Alligator mississippiensis: one gene and its partners. The protein of the gene in region 1 interacts with the protein of each later gene in a pairwise test. Links are inferred from orthologs where the notes say so. Each region holds a gene or a part of one and is shown on either strand. Other genes may lie near its edges.

What was found. The genes of interacting proteins can lie anywhere in the genome.
Region 2: the proteins of LNX1 (region 1) and ATPAF2 interact in binary tests that used the Homo sapiens proteins (3 or more experiments, as listed by UniProt). The two-hybrid records come from large-scale screens. The link is inferred for Alligator mississippiensis from reciprocal best matches to the Homo sapiens genes LNX1 and ATPAF2.
Region 3: the proteins of LNX1 (region 1) and CDA interact in binary tests that used the Homo sapiens proteins (3 or more experiments, as listed by UniProt). The two-hybrid records come from large-scale screens. The link is inferred for Alligator mississippiensis from reciprocal best matches to the Homo sapiens genes LNX1 and CDA.

What each region holds. Positions count from the first base shown.
Region 1 is NC_081825.1:59,244,549-59,252,519, forward strand, and holds the start of LNX1 (E3 ubiquitin-protein ligase LNX), read right to left. Parts: upstream 3,006-7,971; 5' UTR 2,874-3,005; intron 1-2,873.
Region 2 is NC_081836.1:54,885,843-54,893,219, reverse strand, and holds the start of ATPAF2 (ATP synthase mitochondrial F1 complex assembly factor 2), read left to right. Parts: upstream 1-4,366; 5' UTR 4,367-4,424; coding exon 4,425-4,506; intron 4,507-4,585; coding exon 4,586-4,630; intron 4,631-4,725; coding exon 4,726-4,871; intron 4,872-5,606; coding exon 5,607-5,704; intron 5,705-6,466; coding exon 6,467-6,547; intron 6,548-6,865; coding exon 6,866-6,978; intron 6,979-7,377. Other genes in the region: GID4 (glucose-induced degradation protein 4 homolog), read right to left, coding at 1,052-1,159, 2,191-2,250, 3,953-4,141. UniProt on the Homo sapiens protein: Plays a role in the assembly of the F1 component of the mitochondrial ATP synthase (ATPase).
Region 3 is NC_081836.1:5,533,640-5,540,786, forward strand, and holds the start of CDA (cytidine deaminase), read left to right. Parts: upstream 1-4,136; 5' UTR 4,137-4,193; intron 4,194-4,893; 5' UTR 4,894-4,927; coding exon 4,928-5,114; intron 5,115-7,147. UniProt on the Homo sapiens protein: This enzyme scavenges exogenous and endogenous cytidine and 2'-deoxycytidine for UMP synthesis.

The sequences.
Region 1 (7,971 bases):
TTCTTTGTGCGAATATTTTGGTGAAACAATTATTTTTGCATTTCAAGCTAGTGCAAAATTTGAATGTTGTCATGCTTTCAGTGTGTGGGCATTTTCACCAAAAATGGGCTTATTTGTACCCCACAAAGAGGTTTGCCTACAGGGAGTTCACTGAAATTGATAGGCCTTTGGTCCATGTAATTGATAAGCCATATGGGGTCTACCTAAGCAAATCAGTCTGAAAGACTGGGGCTATATTAAAAGGTAGGCCATGTTTTCAAATTGTCCACGTCTGACAGTATCTCTTTGGATTGCACTCTCAGCAAGATAAGCCTTTTATTATTTGCCTTACTGCATAAAATGACTGCTTGATTTATTATGTATTATGTGCAATGCAATAATTGAATATTCTACAACTTAAGTGAGTATATCATGTCATCCCATATATGTACTGTTTTTGCATTTTGCACAAAAATTTTGTCTTGCAGGAGCGACTGGATACTTCAGACTTTTCACACAGACTATTTCAATTCACTTTTCTGATAAACAAGAACTAAATTGAGCCAGAAACATTTATTTTTCCAGCTCAATACTGCAATAAAGGCCTGCAGTAGTTAACGCCCAAACAAAACTCACAACCCTCTATGAAACAGTGTTCATTTAGTGAAATCGAGGAGGATTCCAAGTGAATAAAAGGAACTGGCAGGAGCAGCAGGAGTATTTTCAGGTGGCAAGCAAAGGCTAACTAATGGACTAGCTTTCCCAGCTTGTTTCAATTTATATTTTTGGAAAATAAATATAGGCTCAGAGTTTTTTGGGTGGATGAGTATAAAATAGTAAATTACTAACAGATTACTTCCTTAAAAAGAATTTTCCAACTCCAGTCTCAGGAAAGAAGTGGATTAGAGTATTTTAGCATAGAACCCCTCACAGGAAAGCATCTTTCCAAATACCTTACATAACCCAAGGATGAATCCTAACATTTCATTTACAGATTATTGCTTTTGGGGTTTTTTTCCAGTACAGATAACGTAAAGTGTTGTTCTTATAAACTATCATGCTAAGTACAGACAGTAAAAAAGCCTCAGGCTAAATCAATTCAATCTTCAAAGGTAGTCTAAGCTACGTAGATTGAAATGAAAAGCAAGTGAACAGACATTCACTTTTGATTCTGGAAATGCAGCAACATGCCTGCAGTGGCCCAAGCCAGAAGCCAAGGGGTGCTAAAGCATACCTTCTTACTTGGCTAGAGCAGACAGCTTGGACCAATGTTAGCCACCAACCCTGCAAGAGGGAGGCGGGTTGCAGGGGAAGTGCAAAGAATCCTGGGATATTGGGGGACTGTGAGTTAACTTGAATCTGGAGGGGATCTGGGACAGAAGTTCAGTAAACCGACTTAACCTAAATCATTTAAGTCTGATACTACATCCATCCAGGTTTACCTTAAACTGGTTTCAACCATTTTAAAGTGATTTATGTGAACTGAACTTCTGTTGTGTTACAGATTTGACCTGGTTTACTATCACTTATACCAGTTTATGTGTAATTTCTGTCCGTAGCCAGAGTTGTCTTGCTACCAGTAGTAACTGCAAGAACCTTACTAAGCAAACAGAAGGATCCCTAGGGAAAGGCTCCATTTTTACAAAGTATCCCACAGTGTAGTTACATGTAAAAACTGATTGGATGATATAGCTCCTACTGAGAACTTGTAAGACCAGATTTGCTATTTTTATTTATGGCTGAATAATTCTGCTAGACATTACTGTAAAGGAAAAGCATGAATTACATCTGTGTTCTGGATACTTTATTTATTTTTAATCGATTCTTATGGATGTTTAAGAAATCTTAGAGGTCAATCAACAAAACCTTTAAGTATTTGCTTAACCTTAGACACCTGCCTATGTCTCTTTGGCTCCAGGTACGTAAGTACTTTGCTGCATATGGATGATTTAAGTTTAAGTTTGTTTAACTGTATTGCTGAATTGGGCCTTAATATTTATATTCCAATATAATTTCAGGACCTGTGAACTCCTATACACATGCTCAGCTTTATGGACGTGAGCAGACGCACTGAAATGAATTCATTATCATGCAAAGGTATGTATCTGAATAAATGTTAACAGAATTGAGACAACTGTCTTTGCCTACAGTATTGCAGCTTGTGGAGGAAAACTTCAGCTGCTTTCAGTTAAAATTTGACTGTAAGACTAACCACATAGAAGACAGTTTGTGCCAAAAGACACCAATCCAAACTGAACTCGTTTTTTAAAAAGGCATTTAAAACCCTGAGACTGGGGGATAGGGCAAGGAAGAATATAGCCCTAATTTACACCAATGGCTTAATGAAATTGCATGAGATGTAAAATGGTGGGGGGAGGGGCAGGAGTGGGGGTGGGTTTACAGAAATTTGCAAACATGCAAACAATTTGTTGAAGCAGTTTTTGTTCAATAACTTTTTCTCCATACACATCAATTCACTTTTAATATTCTTCACCAAAGACTTAAGTTTTCTCAGGAAAAAGAAGAAACAAAACGAGACTAGCTAACAGAATTTAGTGAACTAAGTTTGCTACTATCCTTGGCAGCTAGACTAGTATTTTAAAACCAGTTAGGATAGAATGCAGTAACACTGCAATTAAGTTGCAAGGCCTTCTTTCTTTGAGAATGCATCAGGTTACAGAGGGACTGAACCATAAATGTATGCTGCAGTGAAAATTCACTGCTGTTTTGCTATGGTTTTACTTCATAGTTACAAAGGCCCACACTTAAAAGTTTTGTTTCTAAAAAAGTATAACGCTTGTTCACATGAGTATTTCCTTTCACATTTGCTTCTTCAAACAAGTGAGAGACAATTGAATAATAAAAAGTCAAAACAGAAGATGGTTTATACTTACCTCTCTGTCGTCCTGTGCCTTTGAGTCATATATGGGCTTGTGGGCTGTGACCAGCTTTCTGTAGGTAGAAATCAATGGACTTTAGCAGTTGAACATGCTGCCCAACAACAGAGCATTAAGACTCAATTTGATCTCTATAGGAAGAAAACTTTTATTGGTTGTGGCACACAAGGAAATGGGTGACATCACTAATGGTAGTAAAGAAAAGCCTCACTGCATAAACCTAAGTAATTTAAGGTTCAGCAAACCGCGCCCTACCTGTCATTTATCCTAGAGGCAGGGTGGCTGCACATACCTGCATGCACAGACTGCTTAAACAATTGTTTGCAGCTTTTCCTTTTCCTTTGAACATGCATTCAGCTGCATTTTGAGTTACATTTTCCCTTATTGTGTGACCTTCTTGCCACTAACTCTGAATCAGAGCTGAATTAAAAAGCCTAGAAATTGAATCAGTGGCAAATTATTTTGTCCCGAACTGGTCTGACACTGGCAAAGCTCGCTGAGATCTTTTGTGCCATTTTTAAAATTTCTTTACAGGGCAAAACATAAGACATGATAAGTTCTTAATTTGCAATACCCAGGTGTCAGGAACATCAGGTTGGGTAGGTTTGTTTTTTCCTGCTTTTTACTGAAACACCTCTGGGAGGATTGTGAGCACATTCATTGTGAAAGCCTAAACCTTAACTGCCAGGACAAGTGAGCTGACTTTAAACAAAGACTTCTCTTGTGCATAATGTTAGCCAGTCATTGTAATTACACAGGTGTTAGTAAAAACAAAGACTTTTTAATGAGTTTGAGTAGAAATCATTTCTGTTCCTCAACTTTCACTTCCTCAGCCTTGCAATGTGACCACTTCACTAATTCTCCAGTCATTATAGAGCTCTCAGACAGAGATTGTTCTAATAGAAAAAAAAAGCAGGAAATAAAGTGTAAAAATACCTCATAGACCTTTCAAGCCTTTTTTACATAACAAAGGTACAAAAAACCAAAACAAGCCCTCCCCTCGCTCCATACCCTCTTGTCCCCGCCTCCTCCCCCCCCCCACACAGCTATTCTGCAGGACACTTAATTTGCATGCCTCAGTTTATCTATGTATAAAATAGGATGGGTATCTTTTTACAGGTACATATTTTAATGCCTTTAAAACATTTCAGTATCTGCAGAAGAAAGGTGTAGTGTAGGAACTAAATATTTTTTTAAAAGATATTTTTTTCATGTCTTCATGACTCCATCAGCGATCTGGAATATGGCATAGAGTGCATCCTCAGCAAGTTTGCAGATGACACCAAGCTGGGGGGAGCAGTTGATACAATGGAGGGTAGGGCTAGGATTCAGAGTGACGTAGACAAATTGGAGGACTGAGCTGAAAGAAATCTCATGAGATACAACAAGGAGAAGTGCAAAGTCCTGCGCTTAGGACAGAACAATCCCATGCAGGCTAGGGACTGACTGGTTAAGCAGAAAATATATCTGCAGAAAATGACCTGGGGGATACAGTGGACAATAAGCTGAATATAAGCCAACAGTGTCCTTGTTGCAAAGGAGGCTCACAGTATACTGGGCTGCATTAGCAGGAGTGTTGCCAGCAGATCAAGGGCAGTGATTATTCTCCTCTATTCAGCACTGGTGAGACCACATTTGGAGTACTGTGTTCAGTTTTGGTTCCCCACTAGAGAAAGGATGTAGAGAATTTGGAAAGAATCCAGAGGAGGGCAGTGAAAATGTTTAGAGGACTTGGGCATGTGACATTTAAGGAGAAGCTGAGGGAACTGGGATTATTAGTCTGGAGAATAGAAGACTGAGGGGGGACTTAATAGCAGTCTTCAACTATCTGAAGGGTGGATACAAAGAGAATGGAGCTAGAGCAGTGGTTTTCAACCTTTTTTCATCTGCGGAACCCTAAAATATTTCAAATGGAGGTATAGACTCCTTTGAATTGTAAATGTGGGTATTCACATACTTTTGATTGATCATAGTAATCTTTTGCGGACTGCCTAGACATAGTCTCTGGACCCACAAGGGGCCAGGGACCACAGGTTGAAAACCACTGAGTTAGACTGTTCTGTGGTGATAGATGATAGAGCAAGGAGCAATATCTCAAGCTGCAGCATGGGAAGCTTCAGTTAGATATTAGGGGAAATGTTCTCATTAGGAGGGTAGTAAAGCATTGGAACAAGCTACCCAGAGAGGTTATAGAATCTCCATCCTTGAAGGTTTTTAAGACCCGGGTAGACAAAGCCCTGGCTGGGATGATCTAGTTGGGGATGGTCCTGCTATGAACAGGGGTTGGACTAGATGACCTCCTGAGGTCCCTTTCAACCCTAATTTTCTATGATTTATGAAGTAAAAGCACAATTACTTGAAGTTTTACTAATATGCTAGGGACATAGCACTATAATATTTAGCTTAAAATCAAAGCAAGAACACATATAATTATTGGAATGTGCACTAATTTGCTAGCTTCTATATAAAATTTAAAGAAAAACTAGGCAAAAATAGTTAAAATAGTCAAAAGATATTGTGTCATTAGTTCTGTAGTCACTATAGTTAAATGCATATCTTTGATTCAGATTCATAAAAACAAAATCTAGCCTTGAGTGTCTTGACAGTATCTCCAATACTTTACTGTCAGTTATTTCTACACCTGTGTTAATAATACCACACCTGAGTAAAGGTTTTTATCTAGTGCTAAAAACAAATTTGCAGGGCTATTAAATAGTCATTTCTGGTAATGTCTCTCTTCTAACAGACCATAAAACTGCAGAAGAAAGGATTGTTTGAATAATGAAACATCAAGACCTTTAAAAAGCATCATAGGCAACTGGTAAGGGGGTACATGGGGGTGCACATGCCCCCCCTTATGGGGCTGGTGCCTTCCCTGATGGCCGACACTAATGCTGTAGGCAGGGCTGGTGCCCCCCCATGACAGGGCCGCCTCCAGATTCAGGAGGCACCAGTCACTCATGAAATGGATAAATAGTTATTAACACCTGTGGAGTGGAAAAAGATAAGCAGGAATCAGGGAGATGACAATGAGCCACGAAGTCAATTGACTCTCTCAGCACTGGTTGAATAGAAATGTCACTGCCCTTCCCAACCAGTTGGTTTTAAAGTTTGGGTGGAGAAGAAATTGAGGGAGTAGAGGAGGGTGCAACTGAACCACTGCACCCCACTGGGTCTACCCCCATAAATATTTGTTTTTGAAATTGTTTCCATCAATCCCCTCAACAGAATGCAATAGTTGTATATTATCCAAATTCACAGAGATACTTTCCCCTTTCATTTTAACATTAGATTTCAAATGTGAAAAAGCTCTACACTTGTTCTGGGGGTGATGCATTTGGTCAGATGCCACTGACCAATAACAGCATATGAGTTGAGTAGTTTGTATGGTTCAGGTTTGAACCATATGAAAAGGCAGAAAATAAAAGCAATACCTGTATAGAAAGTGAACTCCTTAGGAGCAAATAGCTGACAGCGCCAGCCAACCATTTTTTGGGTCTCCCTGTAAGAAATAGTTTTGGGGCCCCCTACCCTGAAGAAGCCAGCAGCGGCGTTGACAGTGGGGGTGGGGGGAGGGGTGGTGAGTGGCTGGACGTGAAGCCAGTGGCAGTGAACAGCCGGACGTACACACGCACCCCCCATGAGAAAGTCTGAGTGGGGGAAGGAAAAGGGCCATGTGGGGGAGCGGCATTGCCTGGTGCTGCACCCCAGTCCCGGCCACCTCCCAGCCCCAGCCCTGGCTGCCTCCCAGCTCTGGCTGCACCGGCCTCAGCCCTAGCTGCCTTTTAGCCCTAGCCACACCAGTCCTGACCCTGGAAGCCTCCTAGCCACACTGGCCCTGGACCTGGTTGCCTCAGCTGCCTCCTGGCCCTGGCACCTGTCCCAACTGCCTCCCAGCTGCACTGGCCCAGGCCCCAGCTGCCTCCCCACACCGACTTTCTCCCCACCATGGCTTCTACCCCACCCTGGCCCTGGCTGCCTCCCCACACTGGCCAGGGGTGCCCAGAGCTGGGGCTGAGAGCGGGGTCAGCCTTGGCTGTACTGCCAGACTGGAGTGGATGGAGCCCCTGGGACCCCTGCGCCTGCCCTGCTGCACCCTGTGTCATCCCCAGGAAGAGCCAGTAGCTCCTCCAGAGGCACAGCACTGGGCAGCTAAGGAGGGGGACAGCACATAGCCCCCTTATCTTTGCATGGGTGAGGACAGGCTACAGCTGTGAGCTTGGCACAGCCCTATGTCTCTGTGCCTCACCACTTAGAGAGACGGGGCACAGGTGGTCATCTTGTCCATCCTCCCGGTCAGAGGTTGCAGTAGGCATCACAGCGCCTGCATCAGAGAGGTCAACCTGCGGCTCAGAAGTTGGTGCCATAGCGCAGGATTTGGTTTCCTGGACCACGACCCACACTTCCTGGCAAGGGACTTCCTGGGGTGTGATGGACTTCACCTCTCAGTGAAAGGTTAAAGTCTTTTCTCTAACAGGTTGGCTGATCCCTTACATCGGGCTTTAAACGAGCTCAGATGGGGGACAGGGAGGAAGAAGAAGGAGAACATCAGGAACCTGCAATCCATGGAACAGCCAGCAGAACAGCACAGGTAAGCAATAAGCAGGTAAGCAATAAGGGGCCCATTGGGCATCAGAGCCAGGGGGCAACAAAGGTGCCAGTCACAGGGCTCAAGTGCCTATACACCAACGCTAGGAGCATGGGGAACAAGTAGGATGAACTAGCACTCCTGCTTGCAGAAAACACTTATGACTTAGTCGGGTTAACAGAAACCTGGTGGCACTCTACCCATGACTGGGCAGTACACATTGAAGGCTATAAGCTGTACAGAAAGGATAGAGTGGGGAGGAGAGGGGGAGGGGTTGCGCTCTATGTCAATGAGTGTTATACATCGACCCTTATCAAAATGGAATTGGAGGAGGAGAATGTAGAAGGATTGTGGGTTAGGATACATGGAGTCAAGGGGAAAGAGATTTGGTGGTAGGGGTCTGTTACAGACCCCCACACCAAGGGGAAGAACTAGATTTGGAACTCCTGAGGCAGCTCTCAGAGACAATAAAGACTAGGGAGGCAGTAGTCATGGGGGACCTAAACT
Region 2 (7,377 bases), on another chromosome or scaffold:
ACTCATGGAGTGGCACAGTCAGATAGAGGCCACGGAAAGAGAACCCTCCCCACCAACACACACACAACCCTCCCCGCCAGCCATGCTCTCATTCGGTTGCAGACCATCTGGGAGAGCATGGCTCTTGTGAGATGAATGACTTTCCATTCCCAGGGGTGTTGAGTCAGCCCCTTCCACCAACCAAGGACCCTTTTCTAACGAATGGATTCACTTGTAGTGAATGATTGCAGGTAGAAACATACCAACTGACTGGAGAAACCCAGCATCCCGTCAGCCCTTCCTATAGGGACAAATGACATCAGGGCCCTGTATCACACCAGCACCATGCACCACTTCTGGGGAAACGGCTGCAGTCGCAGCTCGCAGGCGAGAGGCTGTAAACCACGCATCCCTCCCAGTCCATGCTGGGCGAAGGTAGCGAGGGATCCATGCGGCATCCCCGCTCTGTGCAGGGGCACCTCGCCCCTCCCAGGCCTGTGCTTGGCAGAACCCCCTCTGCCTGCCCCTCCCTGCAGTGGAACGTACTGTTGACAGCAGGTGCTCCACTGCGCCAAGCAGAGGGAGGAGGCACCCCCAAAGACCACACTCCCTCCAGGTGTGGGCCCATCTGCCAGAAGCCCATGCCACTCCTCCAGGCTGGCAGCATCTCTGAGCCCGCCAAGGCCTTTCCTCTGCTAATCAGAGGACCCCAAAGCTGCCGCTCCTCCAAGGGCTTGTTTGCCCTGGAGACTGTGGCACAGACTCAGCTACTCAGGTACTGCCAAACCAATGCCATCTGTTAGTGCCAAGAAAAGAGCTTCCTCCACCTGCAAACTGAACTGCACGAGTCACTGACACAAGGGGTCTGGTCTGGGGCAATGACAGTAGCAGCCAGGGAGCAAGGAGGCAGCAGAAAGCAAGGTGGAGCAACCCCCAAAACACTGTTTCAGGCCCTCTCTGGCCCCCAGGCACAACCCCGGCCCTTTTTAAAGTCTTGGCACATCCCCTTTGCCCACGAGGTGCATACAGGGCTGCTATGAGCCTCTCTGCAGCTTCCAGCATGCTCGCTTACCCAGTGCTTGCGGTCTACGTCCTCGTCCGCATCCCATTTCCGGGTCAGGAAGGGGTGCTTTTTGCTGATGATCTCCCCCTCAAAGAAGGTGGTGAGGGTTGGGTACTCCTAGAAGCAAGCACACACACACACACACACACACAGAGGGGACTGAAGGGCATTCGGAAGATCTTGCATCAGAAACACCAGAGATCTGCCTATGAGGAACCCATTCAGCAAATGCTTTCATCAGTACGATGCCATGTGGTCTGAGACACGGCTGCGATGCCCCCTCCTTGTGCTGAGCAAATCATCTTATGCTTCCCTGTATATTTGCACCAGCCCAGCCCTTCTCATCTCCTCCCCCAGCCACCTTTCCAGGCCTTTCCCCTGCTCCTGGAACATCCCAGAGCAATACTGAATCCAGAGGTCTGTTGTGTGCAAGCTCAGCAGACCCTAGAGCAGAGGCCAGCTGCTGCGTATCACCTGTTAGAGCAGGCAGCCTGCCCCTGGAGAAGCCTGTAACCAGCATTAGAACAGTATCGGATGACCAGAGCATTACCCCAGTCACCTTGCTGAACATCTACTGAAAACAGAAGCAGCTCCAAGATGCTGAGGGTGGAAAGGTGGAGGTCAAAGAAACTCCTACCTGTCTGTTTTTAATTTAAGCAACATAGAGATGCTCGTAGCGAGCTCACTGGTCACAGCACAGCACTCAAAGTGACATCAGGGACAAATTTGGACCCAAGTTTTCCACAAAGTTGGTTACACTCATCTCCCACAGCAATGCCGCCAAATGCAGGTGACTGCTCATTACACCAGCTTTGCTGCGGGTCAGCCGGCTGGACCTTTATCCCTCGACACCGAGGTGGTTGACTGCGTTAGTCTGGAGTGAAGGCAGGGTGGCACCTGAGAGCCTACCTAGTTCAGAGGCATGAGATTTTGTCAGCAACAACCTACTTCACCAGACATTTCATCAGACCAGTGCACTCCTAGCGTCTGGCAAATTAGGTTGCTGCTTAGGAAAGCTCAGGCCTCTTTGAATCAAGTAGTCTCCAAGGCCCAGCCCTGCCCTGCCCTGCTAGACCAGTGTCTAGAGACCTACTCCCTGCTTCCAGAAGGAGAAAAAGATTCCTAGTTCCTCTGCAGGAGGTGCTCACCTCTGTAAGGCCTTTGATCTTCAAGTATCCGCAGAGGTAGGAGTTCTCCATGTCCACGTGCTGGGGGAGAGAGCACAGAAACCGTTCGTGAGCCTATGTCCCCTCAGCACACGGCTCCGGAGGCTCAGCCAGGGCTGCACGGCTCAGCTTGGGTCGCGAGATCACACAGCGGTGAGCAACATGGAATGAATCACTTCCAGGGACCTCGCTCACCAGCCTTGACCAGACGACCATGGAACATCTTACCTGCTTCCAGCAAATTAGTAAGACCTTGGTCTGCCACCCAGGGATCAGAGAGGAAAAGGAGTCAGAAGTGATTCACTCGGCCCCAGTGCCTCAGAGACAGATCTCGGATGAGATCCTTGTCTCCTAAACCTGCTCCAGCCACATGCTACCAGTGGTTCAAAGAGACCAGAGGGGATGTCCTCAAGCAAGATCTGTCTCCACTTCCCCTGGCCCTGACCGCCAGCTTTGGCTTTGAAGTCAACTCTGTTAACACGTCATCTCTCCTCACTTCCGCAGCGTTCCCAACCTCTGCTCTTTACCCACCCAGACACCATGTCTGGCCCTTTACGAGCCTGTCCATCTGCGCTGCACACAACAGCCTTCTTGGGATCCTCTGCCTTCAGAAGCAGCCCTCGCGTACCCTCAAGTGCCTTACTCACAATCCCAATACTTTGCTTTCTCTCCTCTCTGTGACTGGGCTTACACCCGATTACCGAATCCACCTGCCACAGAGAAGCAAGGCACTGAGCTCTTCCATCACGAGCCCCGCGGTAGCTACAGAAACTTTTGCTCTGGACTCTCCAAATGACCAAGGGAAATCTCCAGGCACGTGGAAGAGTCTGGAAAACGCAGGCGTTGAATGGGAAGGAGGACCTTTCCCACACGGGACCTCTACAGATGGAACAGCTGCAGGTCTCACGGAGGACACGGGCAGACACACGAACATGGACGTGCACACGCGTGACACGAGGGTTAAAGCCGGGAGCCCCGGCAATCTTTGGGAGAAAAAGGGCCTGTAGTGAGGCCCATCCACCATGGGATGTCTCCACTGAAACGAGCGGGCTCAGGTACGCTCGTGCGGCTGACAAGCGCGGCGCGGTCAGCCAGGATCGACAGGGCGGTCCAAGCCCTCGGCAGGTCGGCTGACCTTGGGACTCGGACATTGCTCGACCGCCCTGCCCGGGCACCGGCCGCTCTCACGCACTCGCTGCAGGCGGCCGAGGGCCGGCCGTGCCTCCGCAGCCGGCTGGAAACAAAGCCACAGGCGGCCTCACGAGAGGATCGGATATCCAACGTGCTTCTTTCCACACGACCCCCCGGCTCGCCCGCGCTGCCCAAGGCCGTCGCGCCCGCGACTAAAAATAAAAGCCGGGCGGACGGTGACCCCGCAGAAGGCTGCGGGGACGAGGATCCCCTTGATCCGGCCGCGGCCGGCAGAGACCACGGTGCCCCCGGCTGGGCCTGGCCCGAGGAGCGCCCTGGGGACGCCCCGGCCCCCAGCCCCACTGGAGGCAAAGGGAGGGGGACCTAGCAGCCCCCCGCCCGCGCCGGCTTCAGCCCCCGGGCCCACTGCCCTGGGGCATCTCCCTGGGGGGCAGGGGGCAGACAGCAGAGCTGGGGCAGGCAGTGAGGGGCAGGTAGCGGGGGGGGTGCCCCCAGGAGTGGGGGGGGGGCAGATGACGGGAATGGGGCAGGCGGGGGGGGGAGTTAAAATGAAGCGAGGCTGACATGAAGGGGGGCCGCCCCCCGCGCGCACCTGCATGACGACCTCCACGTCGTAGGCGTTGCCCTTGCTGCGCTGCTGCCCGCGGAACTTGGCGCCGCTGTAGAGCAGCGAGGTGGCCACGCCGGGCTGCGCCGTGTTGATGGGCGGCGGCGGCACGAGGCTGGCGGCGGCCCCGCGCCCGGCGCCCCCCGCGCAGCAGCACTCGCTGCGCACCGGCATCGCCCCGGCCCCGCCCGCCGGCCCGGCCCGGCCCGGCCGCCCCGGCCACCCCGGCCCCGGCCCGCCGCTCGGCCTGGCGCCGCCGCGCGCTCCCATTGGCCCGCCGGCCCGTCACGTGGCGCCGGCGCGCCGCGGGGGCCGCCGGGACGCGTAGTTCCCCCGCCTCCACTCCCGGCGCGGGGACGGGGCGGCGCGAGGCACAAAGCGCGTTTGTGAGGCGGATTGGCCCCGCGGCGCGGCAAGATGGCGGCGCCCAGGGACGGCGCCTGAGCGGGCCGCGGGGATGTGGCGCGGCTGCCGGCGGCTGCTGCGGGCGCCGCTTCCTCCTCCTCCTCGCCCGGCGCGGGGCTACGCGCCGCCCGCAGGTGCCGGGGCAGGGGCAGGAGCCGGGTGGGTCGGGACGGGGCCTTGTCCCCGCTCTCACGGGCCCTTGTCTCCCTGCAGAGCGGAAGCGGTTCTACAAGCGCGTGGGCATCTCGCGGGGCGAAGGTGAGTGGGGCCGGGGGGAGGGTGAGCGGCCCCTTCCCCCGCCCGCCCTCCCTCCCTGCGGCCCCGCGGACCTCCCCCTCTGCCCGCCCGCCCAGGGGGCTTCGAAATCAACCTGGACCAGCGGAAGCTGAGGACCCCCCAGGCCAAGCTCTTCGCGGTGCCCAGCGAGGCCCTGGCCGTGGCCGTGGCAGCCGAGTGGGACGCCCAGCAGGACACCATCCAGCTCTACGCCATGCACCTGGTGAGCGCCGCGGCCGTCCCGTCCCGTCCCGGGACGCGCCTGCCACGACTGTTTTGCTGCCCCCGCGCGCGCAGATCACGGCTCGGTCTCTCCTCTGCCCCTTGCTAGGGGCCGTGGCCTCGTGAAATTCTCCGGCCTCCCTAACGAAGCCGAGGAGGGGATTCTTCCGCTCTGCTCGGCCTCCGTGAGGCCACAGCTGGAGCGCGGCATCCCGTCCCAGGCGCCGCGCTTCAAGGAGGACGTGGGAAAGCTTGAGAGAGTCCAAAGAGCCGCCCGCGAGATCGGAGACTTGCGCGGCAAGCCGTGCGAGGAGAGGCGGAGGGACCTGGGCCTCTTCAGCCTGGGAGAGAGAAGGCTAGGAGAGGACGTGGTAGCAGCTTATTGCTGCATTAGGGGAGTACATCAAGGGCTTGGTGAGCAACCCTTCACCAGGGCATCCTTGGGGAAAACCAGGGGTAATGACCATAAACTCCTGGAAGACTGTTTCAGGCTCAACATTAGGAAAAACTTTTTCACGGTTGGGGCGTCCGGACTGTGGAATAAGCTCCCTCCAGAGCTGGTGCAATCGCCTACCCTGGAAATCTTCAAGAGGAGACTGGTTGGTTTCCTTGCTGGGGTCGTCTGACCCCCCGTTGTCTTTCCTGCCGGGTGCAGGGCGCTGGACCCGATGATACTGCAAAGTCCCTTCCAGCCCCTTACATCTGTGAAACTCTGCTTCTTGCCTCTTGTCTGCAGACCACGCTCTGCAACACGGCTCTGGACAACCCAACCCAGCGGGACAAGACGCAGCTCATCCAAGCGGCTGTTAAGTTCCTGGAAACGGACACAATCTGGTAGGAGACCTGCCGGGTTTGCTGTTCGCTGGGGGAACACCTGGCCAGGCCAGGCCGGACCGGCTGTGGTGGGACTCGGGATCCCTTCCAAGAGGATCTATTCGAGCCAAGCCACCCTGCATTGTTTCTGCACCAACAGGCCTCTATCTCCTCCCCGCTCTGTGCCCCTGAGGAGCTCTCCCAGGCCTGCGCTTCTCCCCATGAGATGTTGCCGGTGGTCCTGAGTATCTGCTAGCGCGGCATTGCCTTTTTCCTTGTCTGCGCTTGGTGTTACCCTGCATTTGCCCTGAGCACTCCTTTACCTCAGCTGAGCCCGTATTCCTGCCCCTGAGCTCTGGGACTGCTGAGGGCTGGACCAGTCCTTGGCCTCTAGGCTAAACTCGGAGCAGAGACCTGCCTGAGCTGCTTTGGGGCTCCGAGGTGGCCTGATGGGTTTGTTCATGCTGGGGCCTGAGCTGGCTGCCTGACCTGTGAACGCTGTTCCACTGGAGCCCCACAAACATTGCTGGATTTACCACAGAGCAGAAGCAGGCTGCATCCCTTCCACGTGGTACCTGGGCTGGCAGGTAGCTGCGCCCGCAGGTGGCCCCTGTGGGGCCTGCAGCTTCTGCCAGTGTGGAACTGAGGGCAGCCCTGTGCTCCTTGCAAGCTGGCATCTCCTGCCAGCCCAGGAAGGGGCTTGCATTTCCAGGGGGGTTTTGCGGCACGTGGCATTAAGACAGCTGGTGGTTTGTCTGTGACGGTCGGTTCTGGTGGTCCTAGTTACAGGGTGGAGGAGCCAGCTACCCTGGTGGAGCTGCAGAGGAACCAGTGGGACCCCATGATCGAGTGGGCCGAGAAAAGGTAGGAAGCCAAAGGCTCTGTCTTTTCTGCAGTGTGCCTAAGGCGCTCATCCCTGCAATAGCTCAGATGAGCACTGGTGGCAGTGGGCCAGTGTGCTGTGTGTTCAGCTCGTCAGCCCTGAGAGGAGGGCATAGAGGGGTACTGAGGAGGCTTTGAAGGACAGAGGCTGGTCTTAATGGCTTCAGGTGCCCAGCAGCAAACAGGGAGGGGAGGATGGTGTCGCAAGACTTAGGATGCTGGGCTGGAGGGGGCATGCAGCGAGCCCAGCCTGCCACAGCAGTGGGGTTCCTGATGCCAGCATACATCCAACTCTTCCAGGTATAACGTGACGATCGGCTCGTCGACCAGCATCACTGGGCCCACCATCCCTGTGAGCACCAGAGAGACCTTCAGCAGCCACTTGGCCTCGTACAACATGTGGGCGCTGCAAGGTAAAGGGAGCAGCTTCTCCATCTGTCTGTCCTTCCAGGCATCAGCCCACAGGGAAAACGTTCCCTCCCCCAGAGGCAAATGACAAGCCAGTTAAGCAGAGGAGGGTGCTTTCGATCAACAGGGTGGAGAAGGAGACATCCCACCTCAAACTTTCTTCCACTGCCTCTGGGCAGGGCCTGTCTAGGCCTGGCACAGGGGTCCCTGTGAACTTAAATTGCAGCGTGTTACACCCTGTTAGTAGAGAAGGGGAATTCCCTGGGTCTGAGCTATCCCAAATGCATAGGTATCTCCTTTAGCTCACAAAGGCGACCCACCATCATATGGCAGCCTGGCTGTCCTGGCCATGTGCTGCTGCCCCAGTTCCAGAGAACAAGCCCAAGCCCACCTCCTTGCCCAAG
Region 3 (7,147 bases), on another chromosome or scaffold:
ACTTGGTGGTACCACGTCCTGTGACACCAGCCACCAGAACTGGACAGCTCCTTGCGCTCTGCTCTTCCTTATATATTGAAGGGAGCTCGCTGCACTGGTGCTGGACCCCGGACCCAGAGCCTTCCCCCCCTAGGGAGGGGAATCTTACCCCTTCTCTCCTCTGTCACTTCAACTACCCAGACTGCTCCTGAGCATGTTAGTTAATCATTGCAGGAATCAGGTGTTCATCAAGCCCAAGCCTCTTTACTCGAGTCAGAGGCCAAGTGCCAACATCCTCTCCACGGCAAGGGATGTGGTGTCACACAGGGGACTCTAGTGTTGCAAGGAGTGCACAGTGATGGAGCAAACACCTCAGCTTAGCACAAGCCAGTGCAAATGTAAGTCTGCCCAAGCATAACAGCCCATGGGGCTAGTGTGGTTCATGCACACCCATGTCTGTAGCTAGCAGCACACAAGGGAGTGATGTAGCTGGCATCCTGTGCCTCCCCACCCCGCCAAATGGCCAGATGTTTGCATATAGCTAGATCCACTGACAGCAGCCTCTGGCAGGAGTCCAGAGCAGGCACCTTAGCCACTCTGCCACCGGCAGAGGCAGCATGAAATGATGGTTCAGATGAGACTGCCATCCAGAAGGATCCAATCCAATGAGCAATGTGTTGACATGAGGCCTGCAGAACTGGGGCTTGCTTTTCCCACCCTGTCTCTGCCCTGGGTGACACTTATCCATGCAGAGCACCTCTGGAAACACGTGCACATCCCTTGCCATCCACTGGGGCCTGCCTGCCTGTTCCTATGCACCATGACTCTGCACACCCAGCTTTTAACATAGCTGGATTTTAATCACACAATGCAATCTTAATCGCACAACATTCCCTTTTCCTCCTATTAAATCAATGGGCACATAATCTGTGATTATAAATGCACTCATTTTCCCTGAAAGATAATTACAAAGAATGCAGTTGTTCTGCTCTGGGTCTGGTATTTAGATGGTTATTTTTATTGCATCATTTTGCAGGTGCTCCAGCCAGGAGAGAAAAGTTAGCCCAGAAGCTGGCATTGGTCAGCTCCTGCTTTTCCGAATTATTATCGGTGGCAGTACCCTAATACCTGCTCGCACCAGTCAATATCAAAGCCCTGTAGTGACCGATTCTGCCTAAACCCTTGGCCTGGCCACAGATTTTAGCTGCTTCAAATAACATTTTTTCTGTGGAAAATGTCAATAACATTGCAAAAATAGAGTTATTCTCATCAAATTTTTTGGTGGAAAACCTACTTTCCATCCAAAACAGTGATGCTTCCACTTGTCAGGCAGAATTTTGTTTTAAATATCTGATGAAGAACCAGTTTTTTTCAGGAAAAAGGACTGCTTGAAGTGAAAATATGGTTGTTTTTTTTTAAAAAATCATCAAAAAAACACTGGAAGCAGTATTAGAGTGATATTGTAGCCATGCTGGTTCAAGAAATATCAGTATGTGAGTAAAGAGGTTTTTTCCGGGTGAAGGGGGAGGGAGGAGGCTTCTGGTAATGTTGATGTTGTAACCATGCTGGTAAAAATCTTTACACTTTACTGGAAGATATTTTATCACCCCTGTCCAAGACTCTTGCTGTTGTCAGAAATATATTATTTGTGCAAGCAAGAGAGAGGAACAGCGGGACGGGGAGGGCACAGAGCAGAGAATAGATATGATTCGACTAAGGGGAGGCAAGGAAGGCAGTGGCAGGGGTGGCATGAGGACCCTGGCACCCAGGATCGCATCTCATTTACTGATCAACACTGCCCCTCACTAGCCAGTGCTATTCATTAGTCTGCAGGCACGCTGTAGCAGTCTGAACCCCATTTCTGCAGCAAGTGGGCTGTCTTGGGTGCTGTCCTGGAACGGCAGCTCTGCCTCTGCTTTGTGTTTGAGTAAATGGGAAATTGAGCAATGCAATCATTGCAGCGACTTCTATGTTGGTGTTTTAGATACACAGGTTTGCTGGTAAGTCACTGGGCTGGTACAGAGGTATGGTAAGGGACCCGTTTCACAGTGTAAGCTGGCAGGGTGATTCAGGGAAATATATTTGCAATCAGCAAGGTGTCTTCAAGGATTAGAGCTGAAAACTATGAAGAAAAGGAGAGGTTCCTCCCAGTCCTGTAATGACCTGTCTGGATCCCGCCCCACATCTAGGGTGGCCATCATAGAGGACAGTCCAGTTGTCCTCTGTCCTCTATTGATACGAAACCAACTCTATTTTTCTTGAAGAGAAAAATAGAGGCCATAAAGGCGTCAGGTTTCATATCAATAGAGGACAGAGGACAGAATAGCAGAAAACTGGAATGTCCTCTATGATGGCCACCCTACCCACATGCCAACCAGCCGATCCATTGCCCTTTCCCTGGGCATTATTACACCTTGCATAGCCACCTGCACTAGTGCATGCAGCTCCACCGTGCTTGCTCAGAGGGGCTGGTTGAGTGTCCCCCCTCCACCGCTCACATCCTTTGAGGGAGGGGGACACAGAGCTTTGATTAACCTCTTGCTCTCCAGCAGCTGGGGCCAGGCCCTGACCTGTTACATGTCGTGTTGCCCAGTCACAATATGCAATGCCAGGCTTGTTGTGAAACCCAGTTCAGTGGCTGGAGTCCGTTAAGGTCACAGAAATATTTAACTGCAGCATTGCTCGGGGCAGGTCTGGCTCAGTGTGGCAGCTAGAGGGAGTTGTCCAAGGGACGCAACTTTTGGACGCAAAGACCAGCTTCCCCGGGCTTGGCTCCAGTGGGCTTGGATAGAATCTCAATGCAATGATTTCAGACATGTCTCCCCAGGGGACTTTTCCTTGTCAGCCACATCTCTGCATATCAAAGCCTTTGCAGGCACCTTCTCTCCCCCACACAGTCTACAACCCATTTTACTGCTATTCCTTTGCATCACTGTGCTCCTAGAGGTCCCAACTGGAAGCTAAGCCCCAGCTTTGCTGGTTGCTATGTTTCCCAGGGCCTGATATCTTCTAGGTGCTAGGGCAGGAGCTGCTGAGGCCCTGCCTCTGTATCTCCCCCTGAGCTGGGCATGCTCTGGGCTCTCACTGCTGAAGTCTTGGAGCCCTCTGTTCACTGCTGCTGTCTCCGTCTCACTGCTCGATGTCCTGTGCTGCATCAGGGTTGCCTGTGTGGCTGTTAAGAGGCTGCTAGACAATGGATTTGGATGGGATGGTCTGGGTAGGGGGCTGGATGAGAGACCTTCCCAAATCTGACCCCCAATTCTGCAGCAAGGAGACCAGCTGGGCCTTTAAAATGCTGCGTTGTATTTGAATGACTGGGAAACTGAGCCGTGCAATGGGGGCAGCCACTCCTGCACTGGTGCACTGGCGCTGCTTCTAGGGGGAAGTACAGCATTGGGGCTTTGATCCCTTCCAGCCTCCTGCTTCTCCACCGCTCTAGGATCCCCAGCTGTTTCAGCGGTGGGTGTGGTCGAGCCAGGCACAAATCCAGCTGTTCCAGCGGTGGGTGTGGTCGAGCCAGGCACAAATCCAGCTGTTCCAGCGGTGGGTGTGGTCGAGCCAGGCGCAAATCCAGCTGTTCCAGCGGTGGGTGTGGTCGAGCCAGGCGCAAATCCAGCTGTTCCAGCGGTGGGTGTGGTCGAGCCAGGCGCAAATCCGGCTGTTCCAGCGGTGGGTGTGGTCGAGCCAGGCGCAAATCCAGCTGTTCCAGCGGTGGGTTCGGTCGAGCCAGGCGCAAATCCAGCTGTTCCAGCGGTGGGTGCCGTCGAGCCAGGCGCAAATCCAGCTGTTCCAGCGGTGGGTGTGGTCGAGCCAGGCGCAAATCCAGCTGTTCCAGCGGTGGGTGTGGTCGAGCCAGGCGCAAATCCAGCTGTTCCAGCGGTGGGTTCGGTCGAGCCAGGCGCAAATCCAGCTGTTCCAGCGGTGGGTGTGGTCGAGCCAGGCGCAAATCCGGCTGTTCCAGCGGTGGGTGTGGTCGAGCCAGGCGCAAATCCGGCTGTTCCAGCGGTGGGTGTGGTCGAGCCAGGCGCAAATCCAGCTGTTCCAGCGGTGGGTGCCGTCGAAGCGGCTGTTCCAGCGGTGCCCCGGCCGGGCGGGCAGGCTCCGCCCGCGGAGGCAGCAGCCGCTGGTCCCGGGGCGGAGCCGGGGGTGGGGGGGCGGCGGGGCTCCGGCTGCGGACGGCTCCTCTCCTGCCCCGGACGGCACGGACAGCCCAGGTACCGGGCCCGGGAGGGATGGGGTCCCACAACCCGTGCCCTGCGACAGCCCCTGCAGGCACCGGGCGGGCAGGGAGCGGGGCCAGGCAGTGCAGGGCACACTTGCACGGCGCTCGCCTGTGGGGATGCTGCCAGCGCACCCTGGTGCCAGCCTGGCCCCCAAGTCTGCCCCACCGACACACACAGCCGACTTGCTGCCTGAGTTGCACGCTGGACTCGCTCACTGAGACACTGAGTCGCACACGGGACGGGCTTCCTTGCGCACCGAGTGCACACCGGACTAGCTCCTTCAGACACTGGGTCGCACATGGCACGAGCTTCCTTGTACACCAAGCGCACACCGGACTAGCTGCTTCAGACACCAGGTCGCACATGGGCTGGGTTTCCTTGCACACCAAGTGCACACTGGACTAGCTCCTTCAGACACTGGGTTGCACACAGGATGGGCTCCCTTGCACACCAGGTGCACACTGGACTCACTCCCTCAAGCACCAGGTCACACATGGGACTCGTTCCCTTGGACACCAAGTGCACATGGGACTCACTGTGTCATGCACCAGGTCACACACAGGACTCACTCCCTCAGACGCTGAGTCATTCATGGGAGTCATTCCCTCAGACATCAACTCACACACCTGACTCACTCTGCCTTGCACGATCGCTCTGGCTCACATCCCCTTCCTCCTCTCCCTTGCTGCAGGTACCAAGAGGGAAGGATACACCTGAGTGTGCCCATGGCTCAGGTGCCGGGCAACTGTTCCCAGGGCTCTCCGCCAAACAGTGCCAGCTCTTCGGTGGGACCCGAGCAGATCCAACACCTCTTGCACATGTGCAAGGAAGCCAAGAAAGCAGCCTATTGTCCCTACAGCCACTTCCCAGTGGGAGCAGCTCTTCTGACTGGTGACGGGAGGATCTTCTCTGGTAAGTGAGGATGGAGCCGTAACATCTCAGCCGCTTGTCAAGCCGTGCCCTTCCCTGCCTAGTAGAGCTTCTTCCCCTGAGCTAATGTAGCTACACCGCTTCCCTTTGCAGAGCTGGCTTGGAGATCTCTGCAGAGGGCTGCCCCGTGCTCTTTGGACTCTGTTATGTTCACAGCTAACTCAGGGTATCTCTGCATCTGTAGTATGCCACAGAGTTACAACCCAAGTGCCTCTGCATGGGCAGAGACATCTCACATCCACAGAGTGACGCCTTATAGAGGTACAGATGCTGGGTGCCGGGGTCTGGAAAGCAGCAGGCTGTGCAGTAACAAGGTTTGGTCTGTACTACGAGCACAGTACAGTGGAGAAAGCTTTGCTCTGTGCTTTTTGTATCCTTACTTTTTATCTCCCGATGTCACCTCACTTGGCTGCAGGGGGACTCGAGATTTCACCTGTCTTTTCTAAGCTGAGGGTGGTGTTACAGGTTCCCCTAAAACCATAACATGCAAGCCATCACTCATTAAAAAGTGTTAGCCCGTGATAAGTCCCCTCTAAATGTTTTACAGTTGTGTCGCTTTGAGGTGACATTTATCTTTGAACCATTTTACCCGGGTCATCCTCGGGTACTGTTCGAATGCTCTGGGGAGATAAAGCGCTCTTCTCTCATGCCTCCAGCATCTCAGGGTGCACCTCTGTGGGATGGTGCTGGCTGCAAGGTGAAACCCGCTCCCGTCCCCAGAGGTGTGACCCTGACTGCTCTGCACCCAGGGGCAATGCACTTCAACCGTTTGCTGCTTGCTCTGGCACCTCCGTGCAAACAGCAGCAGCAATCGATTCTACTACCTCCATGGTGCTGGGTCGCAGCGCTGCCCTGGCGTGGCATGCAGTGAGCCTGCTGGGTCTCAGCGCTGCCCTGGTGTGGCAAGCGAGCCCGATGGGTCTCAACTCTGCCCCAGGATGGCATGTAATGAGCCCGCTGGATCTCAGCTCTGCCTTGGTGCAAGCACTAACACAAGTCGCCCCTGCCCCAATCCCAATTCAGTGAAACACATGCAAAATTTTGGTCCTTTATTTATCTTCATTGTATTCTCTTTTCCCCCCACTCCGTTCTCTTTACTTCTCCTGCCACCCACTTCACTTCAAACAGCCTTTTTTTCTCCAAGACTTTTATCTTCCCAAGCCAGAGCCCGCACGCTGGTTTCTTTGCCTCCCAGCTACAACCCCCCTGTCCCCTCCTTTCCCACCCCAGAGCCCCGGCTCCTGGCCAGGCCCCTGCGTGCCAGGCTCTCCAGTGACAAGTCACAGCTGTGCAGGTGTGAGAGGGCATAAAGCCTTAACCTGGGACTGCTCTGAAACTCTTCTCACTTTGTCACCGTGTAAAAACCCCAAAAGTAAAATGTCCCAGAAGTGACCTGTAACAGCACCCTGAGTTTCAATCCATATTCAGCCTCCACCTCCTCTTTCTGACAATGGCCTCACCTGCTTCCCCACCCACTCCAGCACTGACTAGGACAGGGAACTAAACAAGAAAGCCTTTTTTTGCATCCCCGCCTTTGGAAAGTCCAGTGCACCCGCTCAGATTGGTGGTGGCAACGGGGAGGTTGTTTCCCTCGCTGTTTTTGTTATGTTTGAAAAGCTGAAGCTCTTCGGAGGCAAACAGTGATGTGAAACTTTGTGTGTGCAGAGAAATGCTCGTACAAGAGGACCCTAAAGGATCAAAGCTTCAAGAAACAAACCACCCGCTCCCCACACACACATGTGCTGCTTTTTAACAAAAGATTGCTTGATTTTTAAGCCAGTCTCATAATTTTTGGGAAGGCAGGCAAGGAGGGGACCCAGATTCCTGACTTGGATCTCGTTGTTTCATTGTGTTCTTCCATCTCTCTGCATTCACCAGTTGATTCTTGTCTTATACCTACATGATAAGCGCTTTGGGGCTGGAACCACCCTTTGCGGCATAGTGAGTTCTGGGGCTGCGACTGGGGTTTTTAGGTGCTGCGGTAGTACAAATACTGATGATTTCTGAATGGTGGC